Linked DNA regions of Ovis aries. The protein of the gene in region 1 purifies or fractionates together with the protein of each later gene. This does not show direct contact. Links are inferred from orthologs where the notes say so. Each region holds a gene or a part of one and is shown in the gene's direction. Other genes may lie near its edges.

Region 1 (3,650 bases):
ACATCACAGCAGAGGAAGCGGTGGCAGTGTATACCACAACTGTGCATTGGCTGGAAAGCCGTAGATTCTCGCCCATCCCCTTCCCCCCGCTCTCCTATAAGCATGACACCAAGTTGCTGATCTTGGCTTTGGAGCGGCTCAAGGAAGCTTACAGGTGAGGAGTAGAGTCGACAGGTCCCTGTAGGGAGGTGATGGACACAGAGTGGCATCATTTTTAGAGTCCACAGAAGGCCTTTCTGGGGATGGCTTCCTCTTGGTTTTCCCATTCACACTGTTTAAATTTATTTTTTGCCTGCACTGGGTCTTCATTGTTGCCCTTGGGCCTTCTCTTGTTGCAGCAAACAGGGGCTACTCTACTTGCAGTGTGTGGGTTTCTCATTGCAGTGGTTTCTTTTGTGGAGCATGGGCTCTGGAGCTTGGGCTCAGAAGTTAACAGTGCATGGGTTTAGTTACCCCCACGGCATGTGAAATATTCCTGGCCAGGCCAGGGATTGAACCCATGTCCCCTGCTTTGGCAGGTGGATTCCTAATCACTGGACCAGCAGGGAAGTGCCCTCATTCACCTTTTCTTTTGCCTTGTCAGTGTGAAGTCTCGGTTAAACCAGTCTCAGAGGGAGGAGCTAGGTCTGATCGAGCAGGCCTATGACAACCCCCATGAGGCGCTGTCCCGCATCAAGCGTCACCTCCTCACACAGAGAGCCTTTAAAGAAGTGAGTGAGATGCCCCACACGTTTTCTTTTGGCTGTGTGATTCATTCATGGCACCCAGGGTGTTTGGTGGGTTGGTGTGAGCCAGCTTCCTTGTCCCACAGGTGGGCATTGAGTTCATGGACCTCTATAGCCACTTGGTGCCAGTGTATGATGTGGAGCCGCTGGAGAAGATCACTGATGCCTACCTGGACCAGTACCTATGGTACGAAGCTGACAAGCGCCGCCTGTTCCCACCCTGGATCAAGCCTGCAGACACAGAACCACCTCCTCTGCTTGTTTACAAGTGGTGCCAAGGTAAAACTTTTCTGGGGTTGCCTCTAAGGAAGGCAGATACCTTAATTTCTACATTGAAATTCTCATCCAGATAGCATAATTAGTTTACTTTCTTGATGCCTGGTACCAAAGAAATGGTGTTGATGTTACACTGAGTGATTTGACTCTGCTAGCTAGCAATCCAATGAATGGAGTGGTCTTAAGATCTGGATAGGAATGTGACGGCTCTGTAGGCTCTAGTCCTGAAAGGGAACTTCTAACCTGCCAGAGCTTTGTGTTTCTTCCCCCCCAGGCATCAATAACCTGCAGGATGTGTGGGAGACAAGCGAGGGTGAGTGCAATGTCATGCTGGAGTCACGATTTGAGAAGATGTATGAGAAGATTGACTTGACCTTGCTCAATAGGCTGCTGCGTCTCATCGTTGACCACAACATAGCTGACTACATGACAGCCAAGAACAACGTCGTTATCAATTACAAGGTGTGTCTTGGGTCAGGGTGGCAAGGAATTGGGGGAAGCGGGAGGTGGTCGGGCCCACTGAGTTGGGATTTCCGTGGCGAGGGGAAGGCAGAAGAGGATGGGCCCTGAAAACCCTGGGATTTGGCTGTGGTTAAGAATTGTCTTTCTTTCTAGGACATGAACCATACAAATTCATATGGGATCATCAGAGGCCTGCAGTTTGCCTCTTTCATCGTACAATACTATGGCCTGGTGATGGACTTGCTTGTGTTGGGATTGCACCGAGCCAGTGAGATGGCCGGGCCACCTCAAATGCCAAATGATTTCCTCAGTTTCCAAGACATAGCCACCGAGGCTGCCCACCCCATCCGTCTCTTCTGCAGATACATTGATCGCATCCATATATTCTTCAGGTGAGTGCTTGCCTGGAGTCTTATTGTGTTGAGGTCCTTGCCCAGCTTCTGAAGCAGCTATTGTACTTTAGTTGACTTGCTGCTGGGTTGGCGCTCTGAAATGGGATGAAGTCCTGTGAGTAGGGTGGGAATTGGGAGTGGCCTCCACCTGTGGAGCCATAGGCCTCATGAGATCCAGTGTCCTTGGGCCTCAGCCACGCACCTTGTCTCTGTAGGTTCACAGCGGATGAGGCTCGGGACCTTATCCAGCGTTACCTGACAGAGCACCCTGACCCCAACAACGAAAACATCGTTGGCTACAATAACAAGAAGTGCTGGCCCCGAGACGCCCGCATGCGCCTAATGAAGCATGATGTCAACCTGTGAGTCTAAGCCTGAGGGACCCAGAGGATGATTAAAGGGACTTGATCAGGCGGTGTCCTGGGTGGGAGGGCGTGTTCTGTCAGGACGTCATCAGTCTAGCTGGCCTTTGAAGGGAAGCTCCTTCCAAGAGACCTATGTGACCCTGTGTTCTCTGTGGGCAGGGGTCGGGCAGTGTTCTGGGACATCAAGAACCGTCTGCCACGCTCAGTGACTACAGTTCAGTGGGAGAACAGCTTCGTATCCGTGTACAGTAAGGACAACCCCAACCTGCTGTTCAACATGTGTGGTTTTGAGTGCCGCATCCTGCCTAAGTGCCGCACCAGCTATGAGGAGTTCACCCACAAGGACGGGGTCTGGAACCTACAGAACGAGGTACAGTCTCAGGTGGGGCCGGGGGCAGGAGTAGGCCCAGCTGCATCCTCACAGGTGTGGGGTGAAAGGCGCAGCACACTTTCCATTGTCAGCTGGGCCTTCCTGGGAGCCTAGGGCTTAGTGGTGGTCAGAGTTGTTTCTTGTTCCCCTGGCATTTCCAGAGGTGGTTAACCTTGAGCTTGTGATGTAGGTGACTAAAGAGCGGACAGCTCAGTGTTTCCTGCGTGTGGATGATGAGTCAATGCAGCGCTTCCACAACCGCGTGCGCCAAATCCTGATGGCCTCTGGCTCCACCACCTTCACGAAGGTACGCACAGTAGTCGTGGCCTCTGTCCAGCTCATCCCTTCGGTCCTTCCCTGCTTTATTGTTCTTCTTTCCCAGCTGTGTTCAGAGTACAGTCTCCATGCTTCATGGTACAGCAGCTTAGAGTGTCAGATCAATTTACAGTGGTTTCCTGAGAATTCCCTGTAGGAATTCTATAGCCTACATCCGTGTAGTTGCGATGCTTCTAAGTTGAGAGTAGAAGTGGGATTTTTAAATTTGAAGGCTTGAAAAAAAAAAAAAAATTTGAAGGCTTGTTATCCAGGTCATACATTTAATCTTTTGACCTTTAATATAGCATGCATGTTAAAAAGCAAGTATAACAAGGTATCTTTGTTTATTTCCTCTTCAGTTGCTTCCAAAGCCCCCCACTCCACCCCTTTGGAAGGCAGCTGGAATTGAGAAAGAGTAATCTGAAGATTACTTAACTGTGTGGGCTTATGTTTTATCAAGGTTTAAAAAGTCGCCTTGCTCTTTCTGCTGTTTTCCCGTTCTAGAAATGGTGCACGTGAATGTCCTGGCTGTTGCTCTCAAGAGCATCAGTTATACCAAAAAGAAAGGGAAGTCTAGGTTCTTATCAGGTTGTATTTCAAAGTCATTGTCCAGTTTCTAGCTGTGGTGACGAGGCAGCATGATACTGGTGAGTTTGAAATCACTAGTGATCACAAAGCAGGCAAAACTGTGAACTTTACGGGCAGATTAAACAACTGTCGTGAGGTGATCAGCCCCAGATTTGCT
Region 2 (3,650 bases), on another chromosome or scaffold:
TTAGGTCTCTACCATTTTTCCTTTCTAGTGTCGTCGTTTCGGGTATCAGATAGTCTTAAAGTATTTCAGTTATCACACACAGTTTAGGAGAGTCAGGAAGAGAAGGGTCGTTTGTTGTGCTTACCTGTGGTTCTGCTCTTTCTTGCTGATGCTCCAAGGTTTCTCTTATCATTCTCCTTCTCTTTGAAGAGGTTCCTCTAGCTGTTTAAGAGTAAAAGCCTGCTAGTGACAGGTGCTTTTAGTTTCCCTTTGTTTCAGATGTCCAGTATCTTTGGAAGCAGTGATCTTAGTTTATTAAACTTTTAGTTTGGAAAGTTTGAAATAAATCTTTTTGTACCTATAAAATAAATCTTTTTGTGCCTGTCACTCACCTTCGTCTGGTACCAGTCTGTCCCCATTCTTGTTTCTCCTGGTGGGGTTTTCATTTGTTTGTCAGTAAAAGAAAAGAGCTCTTCATACATGTCGCTGGCATGCGCTACAGTGTGATACTGAGTTACCTTTCAGAATTCTCACCCTCTGGTGGTGTATCCTACTTTACAGATGAGAGAAGGGAAGCTTAGAAAAGTGAGTGATTTGCCTCAGGTCACTCTGTGTTTGTTTCATTAGGCTGTTTCCTGTGTTTCTGGGAGAACCAAGTGTGTTCCGACAAGACCTGTAACAGATTTGAAGGAGTGTTCCATTTATTTTAAAATGTCTCTCAGAATTCCCTGGCGGTCCAGTGGTTAGGACTCTGCCAGGGCCCCAGGTTCAACCCCTGGTCAGGGAAGTGAGGTCACACTCGCCGAGTGGTGTGCTCAGAAGAAACAGAAAGTCTCTTGTGTATTTTTCTCCATCTTCCTGAGGGAAATGTTGCCTCGCTGCTTCTGTGACTCTTCCAGAAAACACATATCTTGTGCTCGTAGCAGGCGTGCGCTTTCGCCAGTGGTGACAGAAGCTGAGCTGTTTTGATGATCGCATTCTAAGTTTCCACCTGTGTCCCTTTTCCTTCCAGCTGTCTATCAACGTCTACGACTACAACTGCCACGTGGACCTGATCCGGCTGCTGCGGCTGGAAGGGGAGCTGACCAGAGTGAGGGCGGCGCGCCAGAAGATGAGCGAGATCTTCCCTCTGACCGAAGGTGGTGCCTCCGCAGCCGGGCTGCTCTCACAAGCGCAGAGAGTTGACGGGTCTTTCTTCCCGTGCTGAAAGTGGGGCATGCTCCTCATAAAAAGTTCAGAATAGATAAGTGTAGTGGAAAGAAGAAAATCCATCCAAAGGCAGCGACTTTTCGTTTCTCATCTTCTAGGGTTTTGCTACACATAGTTGTGGTCATGCAGCACTGAGTCACATTTCAAATCTTGATTTCTTTCTCGTAATGTTACGATAAAATATTTCTATGTCATTAAAATTTCCCCGTTCCCTTTCTGTTTCCCATTCTGGTATTTATGTATTTAATCTGTTCTCTCAGAAACAGATAATTGTAACTGTAGTATAGTTAAACTTTCATAAGCACTTTTAAATTTAAATGTTTCATACCTTATTTGGTCCACAGTAATTGGGCATTTAAGTTATTTCTACTTAAGTTGCTTATTTGAAATGTGATTACGCCAAGCACCTCTGTAGTTAAATCTCTATGCGTATACGTAATTGATCTTTTAGGGACAAGTGAGGTAACACAGATTCTAGATCCAGCTCTATCCCCCTTTCCCTCCCACAAAGCATGACTGTGGAGTGTAGAAGCTGAAATCCGATTGCCTTTCAGATGTCTTTCTAGCTGTGTGACGTTAAGTGCATTATATAAGCGTTCTAAGACTCAGTTTCCCCAGCAGTACGACGGGGATAACAGTAGTTTCTGCTTACGAGGCATTCTGTGTGCCTTGCTTAACACGTGCTTGGCGTGTCGTAAATGCTTGGATAGATGCCACTGTTACTAGTGTCACTGTGGCCTGCCTCACAGGATTTTGATAGATACTGAAAGAGAAAGTGTGTAAGTACTTTGCAGAAAATGAAACGCCCCGTAGCTGGAGGGATAGTATGACTCCAGCGACTTGATCTTTCTTGGAAGCGTCAGCCTCGTGTGTGCTTAGTGCAGGCTGTAAGAATTGAATTTCTCTGAACTGGGCCAGGGTGGATGAGGCAGACGAAGCCTGTGTGTGCTGACGCCTGGGGGTGCGGCGCCCGCTCTGCCCGCCTTCGGAGCGAGGGCCGCGGGACGGGCGGTGACGCGGGGCGCGGGTGTCTTGCAGAGCTCTGGCTGGAGTGGCTGCACGACGAGACCAGCATGGCCATGGACGGCCTGGACCGGGAGCACGTGTACGACCTCTTCGAGAGAGCGGTGAAGGATTATATCTGTGAGTCCCCTGCGGGCCGGCCCAGGCGGGTCTGGCAGGCTCCCCTCGCGTCCCTCTCGGCCGCCGGGCCACACCGTGAGGCGCTGCCCCCGGGAACGTCCTTCGACCAGCAGTGGGGAAGACTGGAGTGCGGGTATTATCGTCACTCTCTGTGGTTTTCAGTTGAGGCTCTTGGTTTCACAATGCGCGTGGAAGAAACAGTTGAAGGGAGGAGGTGAATAGACTCTCCCCCAGCATTTATCTCCAGGGAGAACTTAGCTGCTATTTCCAGGTGACTAAAGGCTACCTTTTACATATTGAATGGAATTTTAGACGCTTTGGACAGGATGCTTGTTTTCCCCCATACTCAGTTCAGTTCAGTCGTTCAGTCGTGTCTGACTCTTTGTGACCTCATGGATTGCAGCATGCCAGGCCTCCCTGTCCATCAGCAACTCCCGGAGTTCACTCAGATTCACGTCCATCGAGTCAGTGATGCCATCCAGCCAGCTCATACTAAAAAACTTAAAAAAAATTGAAATTATTATGGATTTATAGGAGTTTGCGAAGATGGTACAGAGAGGTCTTGTGTCATTTCTTGATCCAGTCTCCGCCAGTATCTTACGACTGTAGTATATGCGTGCTCAGTCGCTTCAGTCGTGTCCCACCCTTTGCGACCCTATGGACGGTAGCCCACCAGGCTCCTCTGTTGATGGGATTCTCCAGTCAAGAGTACTAGAGTGGGTTGTTATGCCTACCTCCAGGGGATCTTCCCAACCCAGGTATCGAACCTGCATCTCCTGCGCTCTAGGCAGGTTCTTTTCCACTGAGCCACCAGGAAAGCCCCATGACTGTAGGACAAACTCAAGGCAACGGCCCTTGGTACGTACAATGTCTGCATATAGTTTTGTGATATTTTATTTCACCACTGTCTCGAGCTACAGAATCTTCCATCACCACGGAGATCTGCCTGGTCTGCTGGCCTTTCACTTCAGTGAAAGTGAAGTGTGAACGCTTTATCTCTCTTTAAATCCAGTTTGATATAAGTATATCAAGTCTCTAAAATATTTTCTCTGCAGACACTGAGGACTGTATCAGACAATGTTGTGGATAAAATGTTTTTTAAAAAAGTCCCCATTGTTAATTAAATATCCCTTTTCCCTGTCTAATATTCCTCACTCCCCGTGTGGGCATTTCCCCTTGTGAGAAGTGTAGAGCCCCCTGTAAACCTGACTAACCCTCACTGAAGGAGCATTCTGCCTCAGAGAGCTAGTTAATTTTGTATTTCACAGCCCATGTGGCAGCTCTGTACTGGTGAGTGAAAACAGAGCCGCTAACAAACT

Evidence for each region. Proteins that work in one complex are often made in the same cells at the same time.
Region 2: the proteins of PRPF8 (region 1) and SART3 purify together in Homo sapiens (affinity purification with mass spectrometry; 4 studies listed by BioGRID, with this or other methods). This does not show direct contact. The link is inferred for Ovis aries from reciprocal best matches to the Homo sapiens genes PRPF8 and SART3.

What each region holds. Positions count from the first base shown.
Region 1 is NC_056064.1:22,665,222-22,668,871, reverse strand, and holds part of PRPF8 (pre-mRNA-processing-splicing factor 8), read left to right. Parts: coding exon 1-154; intron 155-583; coding exon 584-710; intron 711-811; coding exon 812-1,004; intron 1,005-1,275; coding exon 1,276-1,463; intron 1,464-1,616; coding exon 1,617-1,855; intron 1,856-2,070; coding exon 2,071-2,217; intron 2,218-2,379; coding exon 2,380-2,590; intron 2,591-2,780; coding exon 2,781-2,897; intron 2,898-3,650. UniProt on the Homo sapiens protein: Plays a role in pre-mRNA splicing as core component of precatalytic, catalytic and postcatalytic spliceosomal complexes, both of the predominant U2-type spliceosome and the minor U12-type spliceosome.
Region 2 is NC_056070.1:64,542,626-64,546,275, forward strand, and holds part of SART3 (squamous cell carcinoma antigen recognized by T-cells 3), read left to right. Parts: intron 1-991; coding exon 992-1,118; intron 1,119-2,226; coding exon 2,227-2,331; intron 2,332-3,650. UniProt on the Homo sapiens protein: U6 snRNP-binding protein that functions as a recycling factor of the splicing machinery. Promotes the initial reassembly of U4 and U6 snRNPs following their ejection from the spliceosome during its maturation.